4 linked regions of the Diceros bicornis minor genome follow. The protein of the gene in region 2 purifies or fractionates together with the protein of the main gene of each other region. This does not show direct contact. Links are inferred from orthologs where the notes say so. Each region holds a gene or a part of one and is shown on either strand. Other genes may lie near its edges.

Evidence for each region.
Region 1: the proteins of CAMKV (region 2) and GPC4 purify together in Homo sapiens (affinity purification with mass spectrometry; 3 studies listed by BioGRID and IntAct, counting the BioPlex papers as one, with this or other methods). This does not show direct contact. The link is inferred for Diceros bicornis minor from reciprocal best matches to the Homo sapiens genes CAMKV and GPC4.
Region 3: the proteins of CAMKV (region 2) and TCOF1 purify together in Homo sapiens (affinity purification with mass spectrometry; 3 studies listed by BioGRID and IntAct, counting the BioPlex papers as one, with this or other methods). This does not show direct contact. The link is inferred for Diceros bicornis minor from reciprocal best matches to the Homo sapiens genes CAMKV and TCOF1.
Region 4: the proteins of CAMKV (region 2) and CWC22 purify together in Homo sapiens (affinity purification with mass spectrometry; 3 studies listed by BioGRID and IntAct, counting the BioPlex papers as one, with this or other methods). This does not show direct contact. The link is inferred for Diceros bicornis minor from reciprocal best matches to the Homo sapiens genes CAMKV and CWC22.

What each region holds. Positions count from the first base shown.
Region 1 is NC_080781.1:121,554,001-121,561,959, forward strand, and holds the start of GPC4 (glypican-4), read right to left. Parts: upstream 3,014-7,959; 5' UTR 2,500-3,013; coding exon 2,340-2,499; intron 1-2,339. UniProt on the Homo sapiens protein: Cell surface proteoglycan that bears heparan sulfate. May be involved in the development of kidney tubules and of the central nervous system.
Region 2 is NC_080741.1:50,982,776-50,989,662, forward strand, and holds the start of CAMKV (caM kinase-like vesicle-associated protein), read right to left. Parts: upstream 3,020-6,887; 5' UTR 2,883-3,019; intron 1-2,882. Other genes in the region: uncharacterized protein LOC131411027, read right to left, coding at 6,452-6,887. UniProt on the Homo sapiens protein: Does not appear to have detectable kinase activity.
Region 3 is NC_080740.1:67,357,543-67,365,515, forward strand, and holds the start of TCOF1 (treacle protein), read left to right. Parts: upstream 1-4,963; 5' UTR 4,964-4,995; coding exon 4,996-5,103; intron 5,104-7,534; coding exon 7,535-7,590; intron 7,591-7,973.
Region 4 is NC_080749.1:60,247,434-60,254,332, forward strand, and holds the start of CWC22 (pre-mRNA-splicing factor CWC22 homolog), read right to left. Parts: upstream 3,019-6,899; 5' UTR 2,903-3,018; intron 2,754-2,902; exon of another isoform or gene 2,153-2,753; intron 1-2,152. UniProt on the Homo sapiens protein: Required for pre-mRNA splicing as component of the spliceosome. As a component of the minor spliceosome, involved in the splicing of U12-type introns in pre-mRNAs. Promotes exon-junction complex (EJC) assembly.

The sequences.
Region 1 (7,959 bases), on a different chromosome or scaffold from region 2:
TGAGCCCTTCAGTCATGCATTTTTGTTATTGTTGAAAGTGGTGCGAAATTGCACTGCATGAGCTAAAGTCCTTGGTGGTCCTCCAAGGATTCCAGCTAAAAAGGCACTTCCTTTGTTCCTCAGGAGAATGCAGTCCAGTAGGTCATTCAAAAGGGGAAATAAAAGCAGCAGCCCTGGGAGGGAGATGAAGGACAAGACAAAAAGAATAAAATGTTTTGGGTGTGAGCACATTAGCTTCCATTTCCTGCTGCTGGTCACTAATAACTCTCCTATCTTTGGGGGGGAAATGTCCAGATAGACATTTATGCAAAAATATTCCTCAGGTGTTTTCTGGGAACCATGGCAATCCAAGGGAACACCTAGCACAGTCCTTGAGCACTCTTCAAACTTCCTTTCTCCTGAGATGCTGGCTGGGGAAGATGTCCCGCCATTGTGAGCCTGGCCACAGTAAAGTTGGAGAAAGTGGGGAGGGCAATTTCACAACCTACTCCCTGAATGCCTCTAGTTCATCTCAAAGGCACATATTGTTTGCATGAGCAGAAGATGAAAACTTGTCACATCCCCATTAAGGGCATCGCTGCAGCTATCCCTTCAAAATGTGGGAATGACAACTGTAACCTTCACGCCAATCATCTCCCCTGGGCCCAGGCCCAAACCGTGCAGGGCACAAAGACCGCAGGTCTGACCCGCGGAGCCCCCAAGCTTCAGTGGTTGCTGGTTCACTTCACTTCTTCTGGCGGGGCAGGAGGGAGAGGGAAAGAAAGAGGGCTTTTCAGGGCTCTACAACCAATAAAATCGTACTGCTGTGAGGACATACTTGAGCTCCCAAAAAGACAGGCAGCTCAAGGGCAAACAGTCTCTAATCAGTAGTGTGCGAGTTATTTGGTAACTGCCAAGGTGCAGTGGGCTGCTAGGCTGCTCCAACAATTTCTTCGGCTCTATTTCTAGACAGATGCCGGTTACAGTCAGAAAGTGCCCAGCAACTTCCCTCAATTTACTTTTGTAATTTACATGTAATGACTGCACTTAATCTCCAAGGTTATTAATAGCCCTTCCAAAAAATGACCCCCAAGTCTTCCTAAGCCTTTGGAAGCGCCTGGTTGAAATTACAGTATTTCCTTTGCTGGCTGCCGGCCCCCCGCCCGCCCCACCCGTGTGACCAACACCGCGAGGCAAAGGCGCGCTCCGCTCACTTCCATGAAAGGTTCGGAATGGAGGCTTGGCCCCCGGGGCTCGAATCGCTCACTTCACTGTTAGGTTTTGCTGGCCACCAGCCAGCTCCATCCGTGGTTCTTTTTGAACCCTCGGGGCGAACGGGCTACCTGCGCTGCCGCTGGCCCCAGCACGGCCCGCGGGGCTGCGCGCAACAGTTGGCCTCTGCGAACGGGAGAGTGCGACCTGGAGGGGACCGGCCCGGCCACCGCCGCCGGCCTCGAGGGGAGGAGCGAAGAGCGCCTGCCGGAAAGCTGCCTCCCCAACGATGCAATAAGGGCTCTCACAAATACCCCACGCACCCGCCAGCACCAAAATCCGGTGAACTCTTTCACAGGTTAAGCCGTCTGCATTTGCATAACCATCTCCAAACCGAGATTCAGGTTTCCTGTAATCAGTCCTTTCAAAGGTTTGTAATTGAACGTGCAATTAACCCTTAAAATGAGGTGAGAAAAAAGGGGGGAAAAAATACCCTTCTCATCCAACACCTTCCGGAAAGCAGGAGAGTTCCCAAAAGTCAGGGTTTGGAGGAGTGGAGAGTCGTTTTGCTTTTTAAAGGCGACTTCTAAAGCCGCTGTAGCTACTAAAATTCCTAATCCGTGTCAGCGGTTGGAAGAGAGGCAGAGAGAGGGTTTTTAAAGAACATCAATGAAACATCAATTCATGTTCCACGTTTTGCGTCCCCCGGAATCTGGCAAGCTCTAGAAGGTTCCCCCACCCCACTGGCAACCCCCCACCCCCACCCGGCCTCTCGTCACCCACGCAACAAAGCGGGGAGCCCAGTAAGGAGTTCAACCCGGAAAAGGCGAGGGAGCCAGTGACACGCACTTTGCGGGCCAGAGTCCTCTGGGGCTTCCTGGGACCGGGCAGACCGCGGGGGGGAAGGGGGGCGGTGGTAGCAGAGCGCGGGAGTGGCACCGGGCAACTCGCAGCGCGCCAGGGGCCGCCGCGTCCGCGGGGAACGTTCTGCGCGGGGGCTCACTCTCGCGCTCCCTGTCTCGCTCGCCTGCCCATTTCTCTCTTGGGTACCTGCGTGCGGCGCGGGGGGCGGCGGGGCGAGAGGGGTTCCGCGGCCCCTTCTCCGGGGTGCCAGTCTCTGCGCTCGCCTCCCGGGGGCTCCCACCTACCGTTGATCTCGTGCGTAGGGGCATCGTTCTTGTCGAAACCTTTGGACACGTAGAGACGTCGCACTTCCGAACAACTTTTCGACTTGAGCTCGGCAGCCAGCAGCGCGGCGCTGAGCGCGGCCAGGGTGCAGAGAAGCGCGGGCAAGCCGAACCGTGCCATGGTGCGGGCCGGGGCGGACGCGCTCCCACCTTTGCGACGGACGGAAAGTTGCGGGCGTGGGCCGAGGGGCGCGGAGTCGAGGGCTCGAGAGTGGAGCGAGAGGGCGAGGGAGCTGGAGTTGGAGGAGGAGAGCAGCAGGATGAGACGCGGGGCGAAAAGTGGAGCTGGGCCTCGAGCGTCAGCCAACGGTCCCCGGTGCCAGGCGCCCGGCCGGGAGAGGACGAGGAGGAGGGCGTGGAGGCGGTGCGCGGCCCCAGGGAGCGGAGGCCGGGCCGGTGACCTCGGGGCTCCACGGGGGCAGCGAACGAGGCAAGCTGGCCGGCCGGCGGGACAGGGGCGCGAGGAAGGAGGGGAAGGTGGCAGGCGCCGCGGGGGCCGCGGAGGGTGTGGGCGGCGGCGGGCGCTCGCTGCGCGCTGCTGGGGCTGCCCGGCGCTGCTCCGCTCCCCCGGCTCGACTAGACTCCGCTCACTCTGCCCTCGGCCGCGCGGCTGTACCCTCCTCAGCTCTGCGGCTGATTGACTGGCCGGCGTGCGCGGCGACGCTCGACAAACTTGGCCCAGCGGGCGGCACTCAGGGGGAGGCGGCGGGGGGGCAGGAGACAGGCGGGAGCACGCAGAGCCGGGACGGGAGAAAACCTGGAAGCGGGGTTGGATCCGGAGCGGCCAAATCCACTTCCTAGGGGGCCGCACCGGGCGCGCGGGCGCTCCCTCGCGCGACACGCCCCGCTGGGCTCCTCCCTTCTCCCCTCCTCCGGGGAGGCGGGGAGCCTGCCCGCCGCCCCCCATCGGGGGAGGAAAGGCTAACTTCTCTGGGGCGAAGGGCCCAAGTCTTGGGGGACCGAGCGCCTTGGAACTTGTCCTGAAGCCCACGTCCGAGTTATAGGCCTTCTGCGCGCGGCCACCTGACCCGCTGCCCGCCGGCCTAAGCCGGGCAGAGCCCTCCCGCCTCAGTACCTGCTCCCCCACTGCCGTCCCGCAGCCCGGAGGACGCTCCTAACCGCCAGCTCCTGGGCTCGGAGGGGAAGGCGCTGGCATTACTCGCATTGTTTCGCTGCAGGCACCATGGGGACTTGGGATTCCCAGCTGGCCCTCTAGGGCCTCACCTGGCCTCCTCAGACCTGCTTCCCAGCAAACGGTGCTCATGGAGCGCCGACTTATTCGGATCCCTAGCAGGCTTTCTCCTCCCCCGCTTTCCCCCTCCAACACCCCCTCCCCCGCCTGGTTCAGCTTCCATTCTAACCAAACCCTGAAGCAGGAGAAACCCCTCAACCACGAGGCGATGGGACCAAGTCAGGGTTGCCCTTGGAGACCTTCTGGCCCAAACCCTCCTGCATGTAGGGAAACTGAGGCCCAGAGAAGGGAAGTGACTTGCTAATAGCACGCAGCTAGGGGGGGTCGGTCCAGAACCCGGAACTTTACTCCCCCATCACATGGAATAATGGTAGCCCAGGACCCTCAATTCCCCTCCACCCTCAAGCCTCTTGAGAGAGACACCTCCCTGGGACCCAGACTCTACTTAGCCACCAGAAAACTGGAAATGGGCGAGTCTTCCCACCTTCCAAGCTTTGTCAGATTCCATTAATGAGTGTTTTTGAAGCTCCCCGGGCTCCTTTAATGAAGGGAACTGTGCAGATTGGAAACTTGTCATTACCGTTGTTATTGTTACAATCTGCTTTAAGAGGTTAGGGTGAGAAGTGCCTCAGACACCTCGGGAGTGTGCTGGGAACTGGGCAGATAAAAGGGGCTGGAACTTATTATTTGGCAAGACTCTCAATTCCCATAAAATTACATAGGGTGAAGATATGAACCATCACTACAATTATCGCCCTCATAGGGTTTGTTGAGACGTCCTTTACTGAGGAGCCATAGAAACTAGCGTAGCTGTTGTTTTGAATGCCCACTGCAGACTCTTCTACATTTTATTAACTCTTGGAGATCATCAGGATAAACAGACAAATTGCGACCCATCTATAAGTGGGACGTGGAACTTCTGTGGGTTGGCAGAACATTTAACTCTAACTAGGAGAGGAGTTTTTCTAAATATGCAAATTCAACAACAAATGAATTTTCTGCCATTTTTGAGGGACTTTTAAATAGTCCAGGTATTCTCGAAACTGATAATCATCATGTCCTCAAAGCATTGCTAGGGCTTAGTCCAGCACCTTTAACTTTCATTGATTGATGCATTTACTTAAAGATGTTCTTTACCAAAGAGAATATGATCTGAGATGCAACCAGCATTAATAATAAAATGAAATCCAGTGACCATAGCAAGAAAAAGATACTCCCAAAACGTGAGGCCCAAATCAGAAAGCTTCTTTTCACACCACGTCCGGGGGGAAACTCATTCCTTGCCCCCCAATTTACTCCGGCTCTTCCTGTTCATGTATTATTAACCAAAACTTGAGGCTTTTCCACAAGAAACAGTAACCTCTGGCTAGAAACGGATCTGGACAAGTCTGAACTTTACCACACCAGGCAGGCACCCCAAGCCCTGCTCAGAGGCGGCTCCCACTTCAAAGCCTCCTTTCATTTAAATACAAACAGGGTGAACAACTGGCAATCTACGAAACAAATACCATCCAGCTTCCCTTTTCAGATGGCCTGCAGCTCCTCCTTCCCACCTCCCAACCCTACTCCAGCTCTTCTCTTCCAAAGAGGCTCCTTAGTGGAGATGCACCTATTCTGTAAATTATCTGAACGCCAAAAAGTGGATCGGGGGCTGCACATAGAATGCAAGAATCGACAACTCCTCACGATGATCAACTCGCATATAGCACTTTATTTTTGGCTTTTTTTTATTGTGGTAAAATACACAAACATAAAATTTACCATTTTAAAGTGTACAATTCTCTGGCATTAAGTACATTCACAATGGTGTACAACCATCACCACTATCTAGTTTCAGAATATTTTCATCATCCCAAAAGGAAACCCCATACCCATTAAGCAATCAAAGTCCATTCCCTTCTCTCCTCTGCCTCTGGAAACCACTAATCTGCTTTCCGTCTCTATAGATTTGCCTGTTCTGGACATTTCATATAAATGGAATCATTCCATGTATGGCCTTTTCTGTCCGGCTTCTTTCACTTAGCATCATGCTTTTAAGATCTGTCCATGTGGTAGCATGTATCAGTACTTCCTTTCTATGGCTGAATAGTATTCCATTGTATGGATATACAACTTTTGGTCATTGAGTACTTTACAGTTTGCAAAGTGCTTCCAGGTACTCTCTCATACTCCTAGAAAATTTTAGTGTTTTTTAAAAATACATAAGCAAACTGAGTCTCAGTGAAGTTATGTGGCTTGTCCACAGACACAGAGCTCTTGAGTGGCTGAACCAAGATTGATAAATTTAAGACCTCTGACTAAATCTCATGTAATTTTTTGTTAGAAAACACAATATTCTGGGTCTCACTTGGGGTCAGCAGTGAATGTGCAACTGCCCAGATCTTGTAGAAGTGTCCCTGCTTCAGATTAATAAATGTTCATTGAGCACTTACTATGTGTCGGATGCTGCTCAGCCCTAGAGGGAAGGACGATGCACAAGCCAAAAGGAGTTTACAGTTTAAGGTAGTGGGTAAGACCTGTATGCAAAGGCTTGCTTGGATAGAATGCATTTGCGGTATACTTGGTTTTCCCAGGTGAGGCCTTTCTCCTGATGCAGCACTGGGGTACATTCGCTGGTGGGCAGAGGGAACAAAGTATGCACTCACTGCTGCTGTCCTCCAAGCCAAGACCTAGTTAAATCAGGTGCACTCTCTCAGCTTTAGAGGCACTACTCTTGGCCTGCTGGGGAACTACTTTGGTTGCCAAATATGGCGATGAGGAGTAGAACGTGACTTCCTCCCTTAGGAGAGGTGGTTGGCCTGCAGCCCTCTTGTCTCTCCCTACACCCAATCCATGCCTCCCATAAGCCACCAGAGTGAGCCTTTGACATCACCTGAACAATGTCCCTCCCCTGTTTAACCCTGCCTCCCTCTCCCGTGGCACCCCATTGCTTTCCAGATCAGTTCCCGACTCGTTCAACAGATCTGGATCTTTGCTATCAGGATATAGTCTACATTACCAGCTTTCTTACAGGCCTTTCCCAACCATGTATCTTCTGTCTGGCCCCATAAGAACACGTCATCATTCTCCATCATGCCATGGACTTCCTTGCACCCTTACCCTGCCCCTGCTAGGAATACCTTTTCATTCCCCTCCATTCCTTGGACAACTTCATACTCATCCTTCAAGACTCAGCTGAGATATCACCTCTTCTGGGAAACCTTCCTGGATTCCACCAAGCAAAGCTAATGGCTCCTGCTTCTAGGTCTCCAAAGCAGTGTCTGCACAAAATGGCTACCACACTTGCCCCACAGCAGAGGTCATGCTTACTCTGAGGATTCCTGCACCCTAGCCCCCAAGAGCTCTTTTAGCCTTATTTTTATTTGCATACCTAGTGCCAGCAAGAGTACACGTTCACTCAATGGGCAGTTTCCCAGGGGAATAAAAGACCTAGATTAGTATCTGAAATTTCCTGATTTTTAAATATTAGTGACTACTTCAGCATTCTTAAAAGTTTACTGAACAAACTCAGCTTGTCTTCAGCCTAGATTTCACCCAGTAACTTTCCTCTCTCACCCCATGCCTCTCCTTTATAAGCAACCAAGCAAGCAGTGTCTTCTAACCACTTGCTGTGTACAAAGTTTGGTTCTGTGAAGGCCCTAGAAACTTGAATGACCAGAGCCCTTTGAGGATCTGACAACCTGCTTGGGGAGGTAGGATCCATATGGACGTGGAGAAAGATACTGGCAAAGATAACACAAGGCAATGCGTGTCCCCCAGGACAGTCATTCCAGTTTGCTCTTTGTTTCATAGTTGCCAGTCTTCTCTTTGTCCTTCTGGAAATTGTTACAGAAGTACCAGTAATTGAAGGATTAGCCACTTCGAAGGAGTTGATGTGGGTAGTCTGTTCCTGTCTCCTAATTCCATAGTATTCTTTCTCTAATGCCTTAAGTTTGCCTTATCTTTCCTTTTCCTTCAGAGAGCTCGTGTGTGTCCACAGCTTTAACCACCAGCTCCAGGCACCAGCCACCATACTTCCTTTTTGTGCCATTGTTGTCCACTGTTCTCCCAGGGCCATAGCTGCCATACTCCCTCTCTCTTCATTAATCACCTGGACAGATTGAGTCCTCCTTTCCACTCTGTGACCATCAGTCCTTGTCTAGGTTGCATTACCTCTTGTCTGGACTGTAGAGCCAACCTCCTAACAGGTCTTCTGGCCTCCAACTTCTCTCTCCATCCATTCATGCAGGGACTGTCACAAAATCAATCTTCCTATAGCATCATTTGCAAGTGTCACACTCCTTGGTTAAAAAATCTTCCATGGGAAGACAATCTCACAGTAATAACTGATATTTGTTTAGTACCGCAGAGTTTAGGAATTGCTTCCACATGTATTATCTGTGAAGTATG
Region 2 (6,887 bases):
AGTAAATCTAGGGAGGTCACGAGGGGCCCAGGAGGCCTCCAGCTATCTCCCAACAACTGTGGGCAACACCTCCCGATTTAGTGGCAGCTATGAACACCAGGCTGCAGGCACCCCCTCCCCTTCCATCCTCTCTTCTCTCCGAGAATGGGGCTGGGTTTCCCACTGCAACAGACATACATAGGCCCAAGCCCTGCCTGGCCCATAGCTGAGGCCTCACCTACAGGACTGGGAGAAATAGAGACCTCACTCTCAGGGTCTAGTGTCAGGAAGCAGAACCAAGCTTCTAGCCCACCATCCAACTGCTTCAGGGAACTGGGCAGGGGGTTACCCTGGCTGGGCCTCAGGCTCTGGTTACATCACAGTCCATCGTTCCTGCTGCGGGGACTCTCTCCTATCTAATGAGGGAGCATGAAGAGGAGGGCCTCTCCAGTCTTGGGGGTGGGCACACAGTAGAGTGCTACCTCCAGCAAGTTCAGCATTCAGGCCTCAGCATTCAGGCAGAGCCAAGAGCCAACTGGCCACTTCCAGGCACCTGGGGTCCCAATCTTTGAACCCCTGAAGGAAAATCCACTGGGGGCCCTGATTCCCTGTGGGTGTAGGAGAGGAAATGCAGGGGAAGGCCCCAGAGTAAAGAGTTGCTATGGTGATGGAAGTTTTTAAAACGGCAGGGGGACGGGGCAGCGGGGGGGGGGGGGGGGGGGGGGGGCAGGCGGCAGGCATTGACCAAATCCCTTCTCCAAGAATTCCCTGAGACTTTGGCCCGGCTCCTTCCCCATGGGTTCTGTGACCCTGGTCCCCATCAAGAAAGGAGAGGTGGGGAAACCCAGAGATTTTAGAAAAGAGAGAGAGGGCCAGGGACACAGGAAGACAAAGGCAGAAGCTGCGATGAAAGAGGAGCAAAGAGGCAACAGAGTAAAAGGGACACAGGCATAAAGACACAGAAGGAGAAGGGCAGGGGGTTCTGAAGGGGCCTAAGGGTGTGCAGCAGAGCCCTAAGCTCTCCATGGCCATGTGTTCTGAACACCTGGGCCAGGAGCTGTCCCTGGTGCCTGGACCTCTGAGACTGAACCCTCCTGTATCCCCCAGACATGCACTGGACTTGGTGTGAGAGGCACAGCCGTAGCCTTGGGGAAGAGGCCGCTGTTGCAGTCCCCTCAGCCAGAACAGTTCCTCAGCCCCTCTCCCTGTCATCACGGCAGCTTAGGTAATGCAGGTCCAACATGTCGCAGGCATAAGCACGGGGCGGAGGGGGGGGTGCTGTGGAAATGAAGTTTGGAGACCTCGCTTCCCTTTACAGCCCCTCCTCTCAGCTGGCCCAGCCCTACCTAGACTCCCCAGGCACGTGCACACCCCCCACCCCCCCATCTGCTGTCCTCTCTAGGCCTTGGGTCCCCAGGGCCCTTCTTGCAGCTCAGCCTCATTCCCTGCCACTGCCATTCTCCTCCCCAACAATGGACCCTGTTAGGAGGACCAGAAACAGCACCCAAGCAACCCAGAAACAGGATAACAACTGCACAGCACCTGGCCCCCATGCCTCAGTTTCCCTGGACAGAGATCATGGACTCTGTAGCCTTCTCCCGGCCAGGGCAAGGACTGCTAGACAGTGGTGGCCAGGGCACAGGCTGGAGAGGAGGGCCAGCAGCAGATAGGGGAACGGCAGCCTATGGCACCTGGGGAGTCCACACCAAATGCTGTAAAAGAAAGGGTGAGAGACCTCTGCTCCACCCCAGGGCCCAGGCTGACACTGAGAGGAGTGGAGACACTCATTTCCCAGTTGAGAAAACTGGGGCCCAGCAAGTGGCTAAAGCTGACAGGAATCAACTGGGGGTGGGAGTGGGGGGCTCTCCACAGGTGGTCCTACGGAGCTCAAAGCCTAGGCTTTGGAGGAGGGTGCCAGGCGGGACTGCTGCAGACTGAGCTCTTGGTGAGGGACAGAGAGCCCTGCTCCCTAGGAGGGAATCTGGTGGAGTATGCTTTGCCTAAGGGGTGCAGACAAAAGCAGTTTGGCGGAGCTATGGGGGGCTCGGAGAACCCAGGGTCTCTGGTAGACACTGCAGGCTGGGGAGGGCAGAAACTCTGTTCATTGTCCACCACCCCCAGCCAAGGGCTTTGCTCCCCACCGTGGTGCCACCCTGACCCCCTTCTCCAGTGCTGCTGACTCGCCCCCGCTGGCACAGCAACACACATGCGGGAGGCACACGTGTGAGCACCAAGCCCCGCACCTCCCAGCAGAAACATGTGGGTCCCCCACCCACATCGCGCAGCGTTGGGTCGGTGCCCTGGACCCCCAGCTGGCCCCCACATTACGGCTTGGAAGCTGGATCTTGGCTAGGGGGCCGCTGGTCCCCAGGGGCTTGGAGCCTCCTCCCCCACCCCGCGGCAGCCCCGCCCAGCCCCCTTCAGGTTGTCGCCCATAAAGAACTCTCCGTTGTCATGGAAATTAGTGACTGCCAAGAGGGAGGGAGGGGGCCCGGGGGCAGTTGGGAGGGGCTGGAGGCGGCTCTGGGAGTCAGGAGGGACGGCTCAGCTCTCAGCCCCTACCCCCATGGGGTACCACGAATGTTCGAGGGTTAATATTTTCACAATTAGGAGCCCAGCGAGAAAGCGAGGGGGGGGGGCGGGCAGGGAGGGGAGATTCGCCTGGACTTGAGTCTCAGAGGCTTTCTCTGGGACCACCGAGTGGTCCGGGGTGACGAGGAACTTTAGCCCAACCCCGCCCGCCGACCCCCGGATCTACATAGCACGCGTGCTCGGCCCCCGCCGAGACCCCGAGCCCTCGCGGCACTCGGCGACCCGAACCTTGAGCCAGAGACCCAATCCCCCCAAGACCCCCAAAACGTGCCTTCAAGGGGCACCCGCCCCCGGCCCGGCCCGCCCCGCACCTGCAGCGCCGGTCGGTAACAGGGAGGAAGCGATCGATCGCGGGTTCAGTGGGGCGCCGAGGGCTCCGGGGGCGGCGGGCAGAATCCACTCCGGGCACGCGGGGCAGACGCGGCGCCAGCTGCAGCCGCTTCGGCTCGCGAACCTCCAGCATCTCCCGCCGCTCATCGGCACCGGATTCGCACCCCGGGCCGGGGGCGGGCTGGGGGCGGGGCCTCCCTCAGCCGGCCCCGCCCCGCCCCTGGTGGAGCCTGGGGCTGGAATCCCGCTCGAAGGTGGGCGGAGGAGAGGTGGAAGGTGTGTCGGTGAGCACTGGCCTGATCGGCCCGGCCAGGCACTCAAAGGCTCCCTTACGCCCTCAGACTGACCGGGCAACAGGGGCCGGAGGGGCCTTCCTATGGCCATTGTAGGGGGTGGGGAGTAGGAGGTGTGGGGAAAGCCTGAGTCCTGGAGCTAAAGAGCAGTCTCTTGGCAAGTAGTAGTCCCCGCGGGACCAGCTCTCTGCCCAGCTCCCAAAACCTGACCCAAAGGGCAGAAGCTACTTAAAAGAACCACGTGGGCAGTCACTAGGGCAAGCGGCACTAGACTGGCATCCCTTAGCTAGGAGTAAGTAAACACGTGGTTGTGTGTGTGCATGTGCAAGTGGTCAGTGAGGGCCCCAGACCATGGTGGCAGAGTCTTCAAAACCCACTCCACCCTCCACTCCTGCAGGCCAAAGCCTTTCCCATCCCTAGGTGCCAGCCAGGCAGCTAGCAGAGTCTACCTCCTCCTGTGTGGCACTGAATTTCCCAAACTGTAAAAGTCACCTATGACATGGTGTGGACTCTGCTTTCTTCCCGGTTTAATCACCTTCAAACACTTCAAGAGCAGCATCACCATCGGTGGCCTGGCCTGGGATATGGGGATACAGGAGAACTGCAGCACCAAGGTGGCCTACCAGACCTGGTCCCTCACTGGAGGGGGCTGAGAACTGCCAGGAAGAAGCTCTGAAGGAAGTCCTTGGCCATTGCTCTGTCCCCTGTCAGGGAGGCATATGGGCTCAATGCTTGCTCTGCCCTTGTCACAAGCCCTAAGGCCAGTATCTGAAGGCCAGACTTAAGCTTCTTGGTGCGAGGAGCTGGACTCCGCCCCACCAAACCCTCCCAGTGAGCCTTCTGACCCCATCCTGTGTAGAGTCATCTCCAAACCCTTGGCCACATTGAGTGAGTCTCCCCTGCGTGGCTCCCCATGGTTACTGACAGAACTGACTGCCCAAGTGAGGAAGTTGGCGCTGGGGCTGGAAGGCTATCCTGGGAAATGACTGCTCAAACAAGGCCCCTCAATATCTTCCTCCAGAGGGGGTGTCAAGGAGCCATTTACATCCTCCCCTGGCTTTGAATCACCTCTTCCAGTCCAGACTGGTGCCAACTCTAGGTTCCCTGGACTCTGGGTGGTCTCAGTCATGGCACCAACTCTACCACTGGGTAGGAATCTCCTGGTAAGCTGGGCATCTGCAGGGCAGAGCCTGTGTCTCATCTCAGTATGCTCAGTTCATGTCTGCAGAATGAATGAATGGTCTGGCACTCAGTCGTTTCTGCTGTCTGTCCACTGTCCTTGAAACAATGGTTCTCTGAGTTGTATGGTCCAGCTGAGCCATGGCTTGCTGACCCCACACATGTCACACACGTTTTCTGTCTTTCCTAAAGGTCATGGCTATCCAGGCGTGGAGCAGCTGGGCCAAGGAGAAGCTGAAATGGGGGATTTAGAGGCAAGGGAAGAGGCGGCTCACTAGAGCCCTGCCTGCTGCTGGCAATGCTCTACCTCTTCTTGGTCCTGTGCACACTCCGTGTGCCTGTGGGTGAGAGCACGTGGCAGAGTTGTGTGTTCACACGTGTGAATGTGTCTATGTGTGTGTGCGCTGTTATGCTGAAGGAGATGACAACAGCACAGTGTGTATTGTGGTGCCCAGGGGCATGTGTGTCTGCATTCTGTGTGTACCCAAGCATGCTCGCTCACACATGCGCATAGACACTGTAGCTAGTCCCTGGAGCCATTGGTCCCTGGAGCCACCGGTCTCCTTCTCGCCTGACACAGGCCTCAGGATTATGGAGGCTGAATTGCAGTGTGAGAGCAGGACATGGGAAGAGATTGAACCATGCCCAGGGCTGGAAAGGGGCTGTGATGACCCTACATCGTTGGCTGTTTTAGTCTGTCCACCTAGGGGAGCCCCTCACTTTCAGGCATGTGTGGGGGTGGGCAGGTCTTTGCCCTTTGTGGAGAGGGTAACCTAAAGACGAGGACCCAGGGTTGGGACGGGGTTATGGCTTGTCCTTCAGCCCCCAACCAGAGAGGCACAGGCAGGGTAGGGCTTTACTGTCTTGGCTTCAGTCTCCAGCTGCCCACTGGGCAGAAAGTAGCAACACCAGCTGAATGCCATCCTCTTAGCTCTTCCACACCATGGACTGGGCTGACACGGAGCTTAATTTCTACCCCCACTATTCAGAGCCAAACAAGGTCAGAGGCCATGGCTTCTAGCCACCTTCCTGGCCAGAGGGAGAGCAGGAGGCCCTTTAGCGCATGGAAGAGTTTGGAACAAGACAGGGGCAGTTGGCATTGACATTGCCTGGTAGCCTCCATGAGGATCTTCTGAGGAGGGCTGTACCCTGGCCACCCTGTGGGCAGGGGCTGCCTGACTTGAGAGGCTGAGGAAGAGAAGGGAGCCCAAAGTTGACAGTTCTGACTCTCTCCAGAACTAGACAGTCAGAGAGGCAGGATAAGTTGTGAGCTTCTGTATCCACAGAGCCTACAAAGCAGGCCAGGGCATCATCCCCCAGCTCAAGTTGTACCTCCCATCCAGGATCTAGGACTTATTTGCCCCCCTACCCCAACTTCCTGCCCCAGGGCACCAAAGGCCAGCACTCTCATACCTTCCTATTCTGACTGGCCAACGGAAGCCCCTGCCAACCCAGCAGAGAGCTCCAGCCAAAGTTGACTTTAGGAGGTACCTGCATTACTAGGCCAGCTCCCCCAAGAAGTCCAGACTGACAGGGACCCTCCTTTGGGGGCAACAAATGCTGCAGGCCCCCAGCCATCTTTGGAATTTTTTGGCTGTTGTCCATGTTGCTGGCCTTAGCCCCCTGTAGAGGGACCAAGATGGAGGAGGGCAAGCAATCTTCTCCTCTGGAGCTAGAGGAGGGGGCTGTTCCCCCTTCATGACTCACTCCAGGCTATGTGGGTTATTACATTATGTTTGAAATTGCCATGGCAACCAGCTGGCAATCAAGGGTAATTGCACTTGTCACCAGGGCAACGGGGCAAAACCCACAGCAGCCACTCTCTGTGTTCGCCCTTGAGTTGCAGTAAAGGTCAGGCTAGACCAGAGCCAATGCCAGCCAAGGGGCTTGGGGCTCTCTGGAAAGGATAGGATTGCCAGGGCCCATGGAGTTGTAGTGTGCAGAGGCAGGGTTTGCCTTGGGAGTGCCAAGGTCCCCATCCCTGACCCCATACCTGGACCTCTGCCCTTCCCCGCACTACCCTATGCCTAAAACATGCCACAGTGTTCAAAGTAAGCAGAACCAGAACTTTTATGTGTTCACAGATGGTATTTGTAGATGGCCCATGGGCCCTCCTCCTCGTACTCACGGCGGCTGAGCCACAGGCTCTGGAAGGAGTCCCGGGACGCCATGATGGAGCCTCCCAGCCAAGCGGCAACAGCACGGTGGGGAGAGCCCAGCACAGTGGCACAGGGGCCCAGCTCCTGTCTCAGGCGCTCAGGAAAGCCACTTACCAGGGTGCTGCCACCGTCCAGCACCACATTGGCCAGCAGCTGCTCCTGCTGCTTGGCCTCCAGCCGGCTGATGCTTTGGAGGGCTAGTTGTGGGAGGCCCTGCTGGTTGAGGCCTAGCAGATCCGGCTGGAAGAGGGCCTCAGGGCAGCAGAAGCGCTCAGAGCCCAGCGAGATGACCTGCTTGTCTGGAAGCACGAATTCCACCCGGGCCTGGGCCTGAGTGCGGGCCATCTCAGCTGTC
Region 3 (7,973 bases), on a different chromosome or scaffold from region 2:
CATGCTACCTCCCACCTCTGTGCAGGAGCCACTTCTGCTGGGAAAAGAAGGTTTTAGCACCCCACCTGCTTAGCTTCCTTCTCTTCTGATGACGGGCCTTCCTTCACTCATTTCCCGAATGCCCTCATTGTGCCCTGCTTGAGAATTCCAGATGACTAAGGCATGCTGCTTACCCGAGAGGGGCTCAGAGGTTGAGTGGTCTGGAAGCTTCTGATTTCTACCACTAACAAATGCATCTTTTTTTAACTGGTAGAAAAACGCTCTGAGGCTAATTTTTTTTAATGCGCTGTTTTGTTTGCTGCTGTCTTAATTGTTGCCATGTTATATTTTATCGGTTTAATGTTTTAATTTTGTGCTTGGGCCCCGAGGCAATTCAGTGAAGGGTATGATTTGGAAAAGCAAGGATATAAAGAAATTGTCCACAGAAGAGGCAGCCTCCCAGGAGCCGAGGACAAAGCATAAGTGCCTAAAATGAATTTTATTAGGAACAAAACAAAAATAAACAACGTGTTGCCAGACAGAAGATATCAGACCATCCTGGTTTTGTTTTTTAATTTAATACCAGTTCTCCATTTCTTCCAAGGTCAGCAAAGGACTCACAACACGGTTCCTTCTCCATTGCCTTCTAGAAGCCTTCCTCATTTCTGCTTCCAACCCTATACTCACGGTGTGCGCCCTGCCTGCCCTGCCCTCCTCTCTTCTTCAGGAAGCAGGCTATAACCACCCTTGCACTTGCCAACGTTTATTGACTGCAGTTGGGGATAACGCAGCCAACAAGACAACCAGGAGTCTGCCTTCAGGGAGTTTACATTATAAGGAACGCATTCTCAACCGGGGCAATAACGCCCCCACGGAGGGTAAAAATTGGTTCTCGGAGGGGTGAAAAAAAATTGACCATCTTACAATGATTTGTATGCTCGTCACCCTGTTCGCTTTCTCAGTGAGTGGCCCATCCAGCCACCCAATCAGCAACCTGGGAGCTCATGGCAGCCTCGTGGCGGCCCAGTACGCAAAGGCTTCCACTCTCTCCCTGAAAATTGACGCCATCTGTCTTCATTCCCCACCTACCCAGCCTAGATCCGAGGGTCCAGAGATTAGGCACCATTTTTGCCAACAGTTCAGACACTGTTCCTTTTTTTTCCACCCATCTGGCAAAGCCCTAGGTCTGGGTAAACCCTCTAAGTACTTTCCCCCTGCCTGCACCTGAGGAGGTGAGCTGTGAAGGGGGAAATCACACAGCTGGCAGGACAGGACACATAAATTAATGGTCACCAACCTCAACTGGGTTGTCAACACTATCAGGCAATCGGGGAGTTTGTGGGCCAGTTTGCTCCTCCACTCTCCGAATGCTCATTCTCCTCCTTCCTTCAAACTCCTCACCACCTCTTCCTCGCTCTCAGCAGAAGACCTTGCCTCCCACTTTGCAGAAAAAATAGAAGCTCAAGATGAAATCTCCCTTAACATCCCACTACAAACCTACATCTACATCTGCACCCATCCTCTCTTTGTTCCTACTTTTGGTTCTAGAGAAGTCATCCCTCCTCCTCTCCAAGACCAGCCCCTCCACCTACACGCCTGATCCCATCCCCTTGCACATGCTCGTGCACATCACTTGATGATTATCTCCCCTATTTCCTAAACCCTTAATTAATCTCTCTCCCCTTCAGGCTTGATCTGCCATCAGCCTGTAAACAAACTCAGGTCTCTCCACCTTATAGCACACTTCCCCCCAACACACACTTAGACCCTGTCACGGCATCTCGCTCCTCCCCTTCACACAAAAACTTCTCAAAAGATCCACTGCCTCCCTCATCCTTCCTTCTCTCATCAGACCACTGCCATCTGACCTTCTCCGTCACTCCACAGAAGTAGCATTCCCTACAGCCACTGACAATCCCCATGCCTGTCAGTAAACCAAGGCCCATGGTTCTATCCTCATCCCATCCGACTCTCAGAGCAGTCTGCATGGACACTTCCCACTTTCCCAAAACTCATCCCTTGGCTTCCTGCCCTCCGCCCACTCCCTGGGTTTTCTCCTACCTCTCTTGTCCATTCCTTCTCAGCCTGTGCAGGCACATCCTCCTTTCTGCAGCCCTAACCTGTGGGTGTGCCTCAGAGCTCCAGCCTGGGCCACTTTCTCTTCTCTCCATGTTCTTCTCCTCACTTATCATCTCTCTACTGACAACTTCCCATTTTCATGTGAGTCCAAACCCAGGCTTCCAAGTGCCTACTCAGCATCTGCACTCGGTGTCTCAAAGACATTTCAAGCTCAGCGTGTCTAAAGTGGAACTTGCACTTTTCATGTCCCCTCCACACCCTCCCCTTGTTGCTCAGCCCCCATCCCAGTCCTCTCCTGTTTTCCCCATCTCAGTGAAAGTCACTGCCTGCCTGTTTGCACAGACAGCTCAGAGTCCATCCTAACACTCCCTCCTTACCCTCCATTCCAGCACATCTCTATGACAATTTGACTTCCTGATAACTTTGAAACCTTTCACAGTTCTCAGCTCCACTGCCACCAGTGCCACCCCCATTCTATTCTCCCTGGATGCCTGCCTGCACTCCTAACCCTGTCTTCCTGCATCTACTCATACACTAGTATTCCACTCTCCACTGGGCATTCACACAGGTCACATTAAAATTCAAATATCATTCTCTTCCTCTTGGGCCCACACTGTCAGTGGCTTCCTTCACTTTTAGGATGAAGAGAAAGATCCTTAATGTGGAATCTGGCTCTGCCCACCTTCTACACTCCCCAGTCCCCCTGCTTTCACTCTAGGCCCTGCTACAAGGGCCTTTTCTCACCTCTTCTCTCAGCTATACCTTCTGCCTCAGGCCCTTTGCACAGGTTCTTTCCTCTGCCCAGGATTCTCCCCACCACCATCCTCCCCTACACATAGTTCAGATTTCCTCACAAATATCACTTCCTCAGGGAACCCTTCCCTAACCCCCAAGAAAAGATAGCTCCCTCCTTCCTGTTAATGCTTTCCCAATAATGGCTCACACACATACAAGCACAGCACTGTTGTTGGGAATTCACCTGCGCATTTCTCCTTAGAACTCATTTACTCCTCATGACAACTCTATGAGGTAGAAATTATAATTATCTCTATTTTACAGATGAAGAAACTGAGGCACAGAGAAGTTATGTAACTTACTCAAGGTCACCTAGTTAATAAGAGGCAAAGCCAGAATTTGAACCCAGGCAGTGTGACTTCAGCAGAGCTTTTAAACACTCTACTGTTCCATAAGAAAACACTATCCTTTTCCTTCTGCACTTGCTCACTGTTTGTAACAATGTATTGGTATGACTATTCGTTTAGCACGTTTCTCCCCCATTAGACTGTAAGCTCTTATTGGGGTAGAGACTGTTTCATCCCCAATAGTAGGCCCTCAATAAATATTTGCTAAATGGCTGAATGTAGATTAGTCTTCTCCCTCTTTCTTACTCACTGCATTCAATCAGTCACCTCATCCTGTCCTGTTTCTTCCTGGAGCTGCAGTTCCTAACCCTAGGAGGTTCAGGTACGTGCTTATCTCTGTCCTGAAATTGGATGGAAAATGTTATGTATCCATACACATTCAAAATTTTCTACAGTAAAGGCTAGGTGGTTCATGCTGTCTTCAGATTCTCAACAGGGCCATGAAGTTAAGAAGAGCTGATTCAGGGCCGGCCCCGTGGCTTAGTGGTTAAGTGCACTCACTCTGCTGCTGGTGGCCCGGGTTCGGATCCCACACCGACGCACCGCTTCTCCAGCCATGCTGAGGCCGCGTCCCACATACAGCAACTAGAAGGATGTGCAACTATGACATACAACTATCTACTGGGGCTTTGGGGGAAAAATAAATAAATAAAATTATAAAAAAAAAAAAAGAACAGCTGATTCAAATATTCTCCAGCCTCTCTCATCCTCTCCCTGCCAACCTCGCCTCAACAACTACGATAGCCTCACAGCTAGTATTGTTCTCCACAAATCCATCCTCCATGCTTTGGTCATAGTAATCTTTTAAAAACATAAACCCAGGTCACCCTCCTGCATTAAACCAGTCAGAGACTATCTATTGCCCTTGGAGCAAAAGTGCAAAAACTCTGCTGGGGGAGGGGATGCTGTAGGCCCTGTCTACTTCTCCATCCTCCTGTGTCCTCACTGGTTCCCTCTTCCCCCCAACTCTATAGCCCAGCAGCACAGACTGGGTTCTATGTTTGGGTTTCTGGCCTATGCCCCGTGGCTTCTCCTGTCTACCCTCAGGAGGTGCCCTCTGCCTGGGGTGCCAGTCCTCTTCTCTGCACCTAGAAATTCCTATTCCATCTTTAAGCCTCCACTGAAACGTCTCTTGGGGGTTAGGTGCCCCTCCTCCCTGCTCACATAGGCTGTGCCTATCCCCGAGAAAGCACAGAAAGCACCGACTATCTCTGTTGTCCCCGTGAGCTTTGAGGGCAGCCGCCATGGCTTATTCATCTTTTTATCCCCCTATCCTAACTGAGCGCTAGCCCAAGGTACGGTGCTCAATAATGATTTGTTCAGTGAATGAATGAATGATGACAAATAGTGCCTGAAAAAAGTGTGAAATGAATAAATGAGTGGGTAATTGGAAGTTTGGGTCTGGAGAGAGATGCAGATGAGGATGTTCAGACATGAGTAAAACCCGATCGCAGCCATCAGAGAGCTAACAAGCAAGACTAACCTCTTCAAGGAACAAGTCTGAAGGATTTCAGAGGGAGTTACCCAAATCACGGCCGGCCCAGGGGTGGGTCCAGGTCTAACCACGCCCTCTCCCCGCCAATGGGAAATCTCATTGCCCTCCGAGTCTCCGCCCCTTTCACCCGCCGGGGAGGGGCCGATCACGCTACAGGAGACTACATTTCCCGGCGTGCCGCGCGGCTCCGGCGAACGAGGAGCCGGAAGTGGGGCGCGCGAGGTCTAAGGGCACGCGGGAAGTGGCGGGCGGGGATTGAGGGGGGCGTGCAGGTGAGACGACTGGCCTGGGGTCGCTGGCATGGCCGAGGCCAGGAAGCGGCGGGAGCTGCTTCCCCTGATCTACCAGCATCTGCTGCAGGCGGGCTACGTGCGCGCGGCGCGGGAAGTGAAGGAGCAGAGCGGCCAGGTAAGCGGCGCGCGCCGTGTGCGAGGGCCGCGTGCAGGGTCTGGAGAGCGGCGGCCCGCACCCCCTGTCCTGGCTGCCTGGCGGGCCCCCGGAACTGGATCCCGCGGTGCTCGGGGACGCGGCCAGGGGTGCCGAAGGAGCCGCAGCTTCTGCTCCCTCCTGCGGCTCCCAGTCCCTCTGGGCCTCAGTTTCCCATCTGTGCAGTGGGCGGGCCGGGACCTGTGATCGGATGCGCAGGGTTTTGTAATTCCCGCGCCCCGTACCTCCACCCCTTTCCTGGTGGCGGCAGTTTAAAGTTTCCTAAATCTCGGGCCACGTGGCTCCGCGTGACCCCCTCGGGCGAGAAGGTTGCTGCGAGTCTGAGGGATGGATAGCGACCAGCCCCTGGGGGCGAAGGAGAGCGCCGGGAGAAGGGGCCTGTGTCCCCTCAGTTGAGCTGGAGCTCAGGCCCTTAGCAGTCCTTCGGTGTTGAGTCGGACAGCATTGGGATTCGAACTCGTGGTGCAGTCATTTCTTACTCCATTGATTCTTACAGCAACTGTTCACCTGGTGCTCAGAGCACACGGTCCCCCAGCCCTCCTAGAACTAACAAAATCTAAGTCTAGTAAAGGAGATAGACATAAATCAAAGAATCCCCAAAATAACTGTACACTTAACACTACATTAAGTGCCAAGAAAGAGAGGCATAGGGTGCTAAGACAGAGGTGGCAGATTGCCCTTGTCAGCGATAGCCAGGGCTGCTTTCCTGAGGGAGTGGATGTTGATTTGAGATCTTAGAGAGGGGAGGTAGGTATTCCAGGCAGAGGTGCAAATGCCCTGCGGTGGGAGAAAACTTGTGTAGGTACTGGCCTCAGTAGAGCTTGTTGTGGCTTAAGTGTGAGGTACAAGGGTGATAGAGGTCCCTGGGAAGATAGTGGGGGAGCTGGCTGGAGCCTTACTGTAGGCAATTTGGGCTTCATCTAAAGAGCAGTGGTAAGCCACTGAAAGGTTTTAAGCTGGTATGGTGGACACTGGCCTGATTAGTCAATATGGTGTAGGCTCTGGTCCTGATGCTTGCTCTCAGGACCTCCCAGGGAGACTAAAGGGTGATGAGCCCTAAGACGTTATCTATGCTTTTCCCAGCCCTCTCTGGACCTCAGTTGCCCTTCTTACTCCAGTTATATCCCTTAACAGCTAAGAGGGGCAGGAGACAGCGCCCATTCGTTGGAACATTTGCCTAGGCAAAAGTAGCCTGCCCTTATGGAGCATACATTCTAGCAGGCGCAGACAGATGACAAATAGGAAAAAGAAGCGAATGATATAGTGTGTCGGGTGATGGTGGGTGTTAGCTATAAAAATAAGGCAGGCAAGGGGGATAAGGAATATTAGGGTTCAGTTATAAATAGGATGGTCAGGAAGCCCCACCAAGAAGGTGGCATTTGGGCAGAGACCTGAAGGAACGGAGGGAGTGAGCTGTGTAGTTAGCAGGAGAGAACATTCCAGACAGAAAGAATAGCAAGCCCTGATGGGGGCCGGGTGGCCTGAGACGTTTGAGGGACAGTGAGGAGGCCAGTGGGCCTGGGTCGCAGTAGAGTGAAACTGACGCTCGCAGTCTCTGTGTTATTGGCTCATGTGCTGGGGGCGCTGACCAGGTTGTCTCATTCAGGCCTGATAGCAACCTGCTAGGTGGGTACTGCCGTTGTCCCCATGTTATAAAGAAGGAACCTGAAGTTTGAAGAGGTGAAGAGATTAGTCCAGCCAGTTAACAGAGGAGCTCTGCCTGACACCAGGTGCACCCTCCTGGCCACTCTGTACCCCCTGACACTGCCCTTGCCCCACATTGTTCACTCAGCCTCCTTGGGGCACTTAACACCCAGGTTCTTGACATTTGCACCGAGAGTGGGCCCTCTGGCATCGGCTCCAAAGGCCTAGATTCCAGCTGGTTCCCTCTGCTTCTACCAAGGGACTGGCATCATTTGGTTCCAGTCTTTTCCCAGTGGATGAGTGGACTGCAGTCATGCCACCCGGATGCCTCTGGTGTCTGGGCTGTGGTTTGTACTGCCCTGGGGAGATTGACCAGCCTGGCCTTTAAAAGCCTTTTGAAAGGTCAGAGGTAGAAAAAGCCCTGTCTCGTGGCCTCTAAGCATAGAGAGTGGCAGGGAGGCTGGGGGCTGGAAAAATGCTAGCCTGGAAGATTCCAGCTCTAGTCGGTCAAAGGTACCTCTCACCAACATGTTGTCTTAAAAGGTTTTAGCTGGAAATACTTGTCCCGCTTGTCTCTGGAAGGTTTGAGTGGTACAGGCAGGGCCAAGCAGACATGTTTCCCAAAGCAAAAAGACCCCTTTCTCAACCGCTTGTCTGTGCAGGTAAGGAGGTCGTGGAGAGTTGGGCCCAAGGAGGACCCTTACTGTGCTGGAGCGTTAATTGCTGTTTTCTCTTTCCTTGTTTGCAGAAAAGTTTCCTGACTCAGCCTGTAACCCTTCTGGACATCTACACACACTGGCAACAGTAAGTCTGTTGGGGCTGAAGGAGTGGAGTAGGGACACGCCGAGCTCTCGGCTTGGAATAAGCTGGGATACTAATCTGTCCCTATAGCCCACTGTGGACGCCATTATCACCCCCGGGAAGCCAGGTCACATGGATGTGAGTCGGAGAGGATATTGAGAGCTGCAATCAATGTCTTTGAAGGACAGAAGCTTTCAGCAGCTTGTTATTCATTTAGTCAGCAAACATTTATTGAGTACCTACTGAATGCCAGGCCCTGTTCTAAGTATGGAGATGTTGTCGTGAGTGAGACAGACATGGTTCCTTCTGTCCTGGAGCTCACATTGGAGTCGGGGAGGGAGGCATGCCTCAAACAATGAAACAAACAAATGTAAAATTACAGTGGT
Region 4 (6,899 bases), on a different chromosome or scaffold from region 2:
ATGAAGCAGCCCCTGGACACACAGCACTACATTCCACTACAGAGGCTCCTGTCACCAGGTCTAGAATAAAGCTGACCTTAACTATCAGGGAAGGACTCACAGGATAACTTTTCATGTGGAAGTGCTGAACTCTGTCTAGCCTGATCCATTTATGAATTAGGCTTAAAGTCAAGTTAAAAATGAATCTCCACTGGGTCTCTCCCTCCCACTAGCTAACCTATTCTATAATCACAGGAACCCTTATGTCCCCAGGCCAAGGCAGCCCATACCACCTTGTTGGTATGTGTTCACTGGGAAAGATTTATTACCTTGACTATAATAGCAAAGGCCTGCTTTAATCTATTGCTTCCTCTCCTGATACACTATTTTTTAAAAAAATGCTTTGAAAGTGTGCACTTTGTTGTAGGCATTGAAATGTCTCTTCCAATGTCCACTTGGGAAATGTATATACTGAGATAAGATATTTAGGCTACAGGTTTAGCAAGTCTGGAAGTATGCTGAAACTAACACTCCAGAGAAACTAATATGCTTTGTTCCACCGCCCTCCCATGCTAGGAGTCTCACACTTAAACAGAAAAGTAGAGAAATGCAACAAAGAAGCCCTGCAAGTCATCAGTAGGATCAGCTATATTACCAAAAACCACTTCATTCTTAAACTAGCTCTAGGCCAGCGATGACTTATACCAAGTTAAGGAATACACCAGGTACTACAAAATTTAGTCTAAATACAAGTGGGCAATAAACAGAAAATGTTCAAGTTAAGGCATGGGCATTACAAATACCCAATGTTATCACTGTGTACTCTCGTAGGTGGTCTCAGGTACAACCAGCCACTGCAGATCACTTGGCAACGTACAATCATCAGGGAGGAGAGTTAACCTCTAACAATTCAGCAGCTGGGAAAACTGATCGAGCTAAAAAGGCTGGTTTAGGAAACACAGTTAAGTAGTTTAGGAAATGTCAGAATTCCAGAAGTGATTGGAGGTAAACTATCCAAAGCAGGGAAGGATGTGGTGGCATAGTAACAAGGAAATACTGGCTGGCCAAAGATCAAACATTGTGGAGCAAGGAAAACAGCAAACCTGATCCTGGGGGTGGGAGTGAACCACAGTAGATCAGAAGGGGATGGGCTAGAACAGTGGCTCTCAAACTAACTGGCATGAGAATCACGTGGATGGTTTGGTAAAAAAGAAACTCATAGGCACCCCATTCCCCAGTTTCTGATTCAACAAGCCTGGGGTGGAGCCCAATAATTTACATTGCTAACAAGTTCCATGGAGACATTGGTGCTGCTGATTCAGGAGACTAGATTTGCAGAACCACTGGACCAGGGTATCGGATCAACGTTCTCAGCCTCTGAAGTCTCAGGGCCCCAGCCAACTGAGGTGGGAAAGGCTCCATGAAGGCGGCATGGGCACTTAAAAGTGGAAGGGCAACATTCAGAACCAAAGAACAAGAACTGAGACTCAGAGAGAATTCATCAACTCTTTCGCAGTAGTAACAATAATATAATAGCTAACGCTGTATGCCAGGCACCGTGCACAGTGCCTCATATGTATTTTTCTTCATCCTCAAAACAACCCAGGTAGGTACGTAAGTATTACTATTATCCACATTTTTCAGATGAGGAAGCTGAGACTACGGATGTTAGGTAACCTGCCCCAAATGACAGACTTATTTAGTGCTGAACCAAGACTGGCATCTTCGCCTTAGTGGTCCATCACTCAGCACCAACAAAAGCAGGTCTCCTTCTCCCACAGATGCTGCCTTGAGCAACGTTCTTGCGATCAAAACCACACTTTTAATGCCAATTATAAATTCGCTTTTCCATGGTAGGATGACAATTGGGGTTTACTCCCGAGTTCACAGGCAATCCTAAAACAAAACAAATTTAAATATAGAAAAGGGAAAGGCAGATTAACTTCCCTTCTGAAGCCCAAGTCTTCTTGTTTATCTATTTCTAGCCTGTAGACACCGAAAAAGGCAAAGGGAACTCTTATCGCACTTTCAATCACCTAATTCCGGCTTCTGGAACAGCTTTTCTGCAATTTTTTCCTTCTCTATTTACCTCAAAGATTTGTTGTGAGAATTAAGTGAAAATTGGTAAAGCAGTTTTCGCAGTTAGACCCAGTGAAATTAACTATTATATTACCGTTATATGCAAGTGTACTGTAGGATCCGGAGCTCAATAGAGCGGTGGAGACTGAAGACCCAAGTTTGTAAGTTACCATCGTATTGGAGGCAGATCAATTTACGGAAGGACAAAGGATGACAGAGGAAGAGCACACATAATGCGGAACGAAGAGTCCTCAGGACTAACCACTAGGAAGCATCATTATTTACAGGACAAATGAATGAAAAAGAAAAGACTAATGAAATTTTAAAGAAGCAGTCACAAGGATATTATGTCGGAAAGAGGCGCAAGAGCGGAACTTGCACTATTTTTTAATCAACTACAGTTCATTAATCCCATTCCCATGACCTGGGGCCGGGCACTAAGAAAGGGGCCTTAAGAAGCCCAAGTGGAGGCTCTAAGCGATCCGCGCCCGAAACACACCGCACACGAACGCAGAAAGAACCGGTGCTGGATTCAAGCAACAACGACACTGTGTCGAAACAGCCCCAGGACCCTCACTAGGAAGCTATCTGTCCGCGCAGGCGGGAAGAGAGTTCAGCGTCGCCTCCCCACCGCTCGGACTCCTCCGCCCGACCGGCTCTCACTCCAACCCCGCGGGCCGGCGCGCGGCGGCACGAGAGCCCCGCGCACCGCGGCGCCGCCCAGGGCCATATCAGCGAGCCCGTACCCACTCCTTGGCCCCTTTCACTTCCCACCCGGCCCGGCAACCCGCCACCCCCACTCTGGTTCGCTGCCTGCCGCGAGTCTACGGAGTTCGGTAATTACCTGGAGGGCCGCCGCACCGCCATTACACCGGAAGCACGTCACTTCCCCTTTCCGGGCCCGGCAGTAGGAGGAAGGCGGAACGTGAAATACATAAAAACCTGACGCTAAATTGGCTTTGATACGTTATCTTATTAATTTATTTTTAAATACCATATCGTAATACCAGATTCATAGCAGTCGATCCATCCACACTTTCTCCTTTCCAAGACGGCGACGAAAGATAAGTCGATACGAACTACAAAGTCCAGCATGCACCGACTGTGAGGACGGAGAAGACGTAAGCAGTTGTAGTTGTAGGCTGAGAACGCCGCAATGTACCTCGGGAATTGTAGTTCTTCTGGACAAGCGGCGGAGCGTGTATCCAGGCGGCTCGCCGGAAACCTGGTAGTGATTAGCGTTTAGCGCAATTTACTTTATCTAAAACTACTTCTCTATAGTTTGCAAGAAAGTAGACCTTAGTAGTCACTTTTCCTTGAAAATTTTAGGAAGAACAGACACCTTTTTCGGACATTTTACAATAGTTAGACCAAGAATCTATATAAGCAAAAATGTTACCGAAGGTGAAGTGCCTACTAATTTCGGAGATTTCAAGCACAAGTGCATGAATGGGAGAATATTGGAGTGAAGTAATGACGAGACGCTAATTCTGTAGAGAAGATGATGCCTGTTTTAGGTTAAGATCCAGCTGGCGAGACATCATGAGGATAACGAGATTGCCTGACTGGCTTGGAAATAGCAGTCTGTACTGAGATCAGAGTTAATCAATGAAAGTGTTTTCTTAAGCTTTAGTTTTCAATAGTAACAAAACCTAAAATTTATACTACTTGTTACTGTTTTGGGAACTATTTTCTCCTAAAACAACTGTATCTTTATGTTCCCCAACCTTGTATACACCAGGCCTGGTTTCTCCAAACACTTCTCTATTACAATTTTAGGGTGCTGGTGCTACCAACCTTTTCCTAGTGACAGAAGAGTGTAATGATTACAGATAAAGACACTGGAGCTGGACTACTTTTTAACTTGGGAATCTATGACGTACTCATGGACGATTGACCTCTGGCAGGTTACTTCACACTGTGTGCTCATTTCTTGATCTGTTCTATAGGAATAGACACTGCATAGATTTCGGTTGTACCAATACAGGGCACAGGAGGTGAATCTGGTAAACATTTGTATCCATATCTGAAAAATGCACAATACCACCTCTACAATTATCAATAGAAATAAAATTAAGTTAGAGGACCTAGAGGAGCTGGATGTTGCTGGAAAAGATGAGGTTTGCCATTTGGGACCTCCAGAAAGCAAACAGTGAGCTAGAGCTAAGACAGTAAAAAGGTGAAAGGAAAAGGGAGGAAACTGGATGGGCTAGGAGTAGCTCTAGAGCAAAGATGAAGAGTCTCATACTGAGATAAAATAGCTAGGCCCTTGTAACATGGCCTTGCTCAGTCATTAGCTAGAACCTTCCCAATAAGAGTGTGGCCTTGACTCAAAAGCTGAAGTGGACTTGAAGGTGTTAACAGTTGAAGGTTGTCACCTAACCACACTCCTCACAGCTGGGCAAACAGCCTGTTGATGAAGAGGTATCTGAGCAGCACATCTGTGTGTTTGTCACAGTGGACCCCTTGTACCATGTAGATCCACTGTCTGTACTCATTCAGGGTTCCGGTGGCCTCTCTTCTTGAAGAGAAACTTAGAAGAGAGAAGTTAGTGGGACAAACTACAGTCCCCATCTTTGCAGTTGGTCCTGAACCACAACTGCATTCATTGCCTGTCTCTACTATTCATTCTGAATTCCCCTCACTCTCAGCTACCACCTCTGCTGGTCTTCATAATTAAACTGGTGGTGTGAAAACCTTAATTCCTGAGAAATTTGAGCCCCTAGTAATAATCTCCTTTTCAGGCAGGTGTTGCTGCACTTGTCCGTTTACAGTCACTGTTGAGTAAGGGAGAGGTGCCCAAGTGGATCATTCAAGTACCACATATATTCTTATTTGCTATCATTTTGTAACATCAAGCCTACCTTCTGATGATTAGAGTTAGCTTATCCTGCCAAGATGTTGACTCCTCTTCTTGTCTGCTCGTCCCTGAACTCAAGAAGTCCTGAATGCCCAGGCAGCAGATAAAGTTAGCTCAGTAGGACCCTTGCTGTGTCCCCTAGCAAGAATATACCATTTCAGGAGACTAGGCTCTCTAATTCCACAAAGCTCAGAGTTGCAGGAATGGGAAATGCTATGTGCCCCAATAGGTTATTGGGAATGATGGTAAATGATGCTATTCCTGTTTTACCCCATTTTTTCCCGGACCCATGTGTTGTTCCTATTGGGGACCCTGAGCTGTATCAAGGTCTACTGCATCCTGGGGAACAGCACCTCATCCTAGCGGAGTATTGTGTCATAGCAAGTGCTTGAACTTCACCCTCAGCAGGCCATTCCAGTGCTCTCTTAGGCCACCGGCCTCTGGGACATGCAGCATGTGGTGCAACCAGTGGAACTCATGGTCATGGGCGCCCTCCTGCACCACCTTTGCTGTGAAGTGATTTCCCTGATTGGATGTTATACCGTGTTGTATTCCGTGCCTGTGGATCAGGCATTGTGTAAGTCCCCAGATAGTGGTGCTGGATGGAGACTGGTGGGTATAAAATGCAAATACATACCCAAAATAAGTAATCTATTCCCATTGATGGAACTGTTGCCCCTTCCAGGGTAGAAAGGTCCCAATGTAGTCAACTTGCCACCAAATAGCAACTTGATCTCCTAAAGGAATGATGACATATTGGGAGCTCAACATTGGTCTCTCTTGCTGTCAGGTTGAATTTTCAGATGAGGCAGTAGGTAGGCCAGCTGTGGTAAGTGGGCTCCATGCTGATGGACCCATGCACAGACTCCATTTTTGTTAGCATGGCTGCTTTTTTCATTTGTCCATTGTGCCAGCACTGGGGTGGCCACTAACAAAGACAGGCTAACGTCACCTAGCTGAGTAATTTGGTCTACGTAGTTGTTTAGTGCTTCTTTCATAATGTATACTTTCTGGTGGACACTGATGTGTGATAAAAAGATCTTCACACTTTTTGCCCACACTGATATGTGCATCTGCATTCCTCTAACCCTCTAAGACCTCCTTGTCTGCAATCTCTTTCTTTTCAGACACCTGACTAGCCAGCCAGGCTATTGCCATTGCCTGTTAGCTGGTTTATATTCTAAAGTTAGGCCACTTTTCCTTCCACACAAAGTGGATGACCACAGTTTTGGGCACCGCCCAAAACTCTGCCCATTAGAAAGCTTGTCCCTCTCCTCTGTCTTCATGGCTGTTCCTGAGTGAGGCTTTGACGTAGCTGCTGTCCAGTTTCAGCTTTCATCCACGTTCTTAGCCAACCCATCTGTAAACTAAGCTTGGCCGTTTTTTCTTCCTTCAGCTTGTTGTTTGAGACCCCACCCCTTACTATGGCCATCAGTGTGAGCTGAGAGAGGGGTATTGATGAAACTGTGATGGGTGACATCAAGGTCTGCACTATCTGCTCATGTAGATTATTTGTACCCTCTGGTCTTCTTTGTGCTTCATCCCAAATCTAATATTTTCATTTTATGATGAATTGTGACTGGGCCCCCTCCGAAGTTATGACATGGTAGATTCAACGAGACACATTTCATTTTGTATCACTTAGTGTCCCCATGGTCAAGCATTCTCTCCTTACCAGGAGGATGCCAAGAGCTGTTTTTCAAAAGTTGTGCAACCTTGATCCAGCACCCCAGGAGCCTGAGCTGTAATTCTCCTTCTAAGACTTCTATAAACTCCATACTGCATCTTCTTCCAAAACTGACACCTCTAACACCATAGGATCTGCTGGATCCATTAGCCCAAGTGTCAAGCAAGGCTGCTTGCGCCACACTCAGACCTGCTGCAGAGCCCTTTGTTGTGCCAGGTGGCAAAGCTGGCAGCTTTTTATGTCACCTGGTATATGGGCCAGAAATATATTCCTAGGTGTGGAGTATATTGCTTA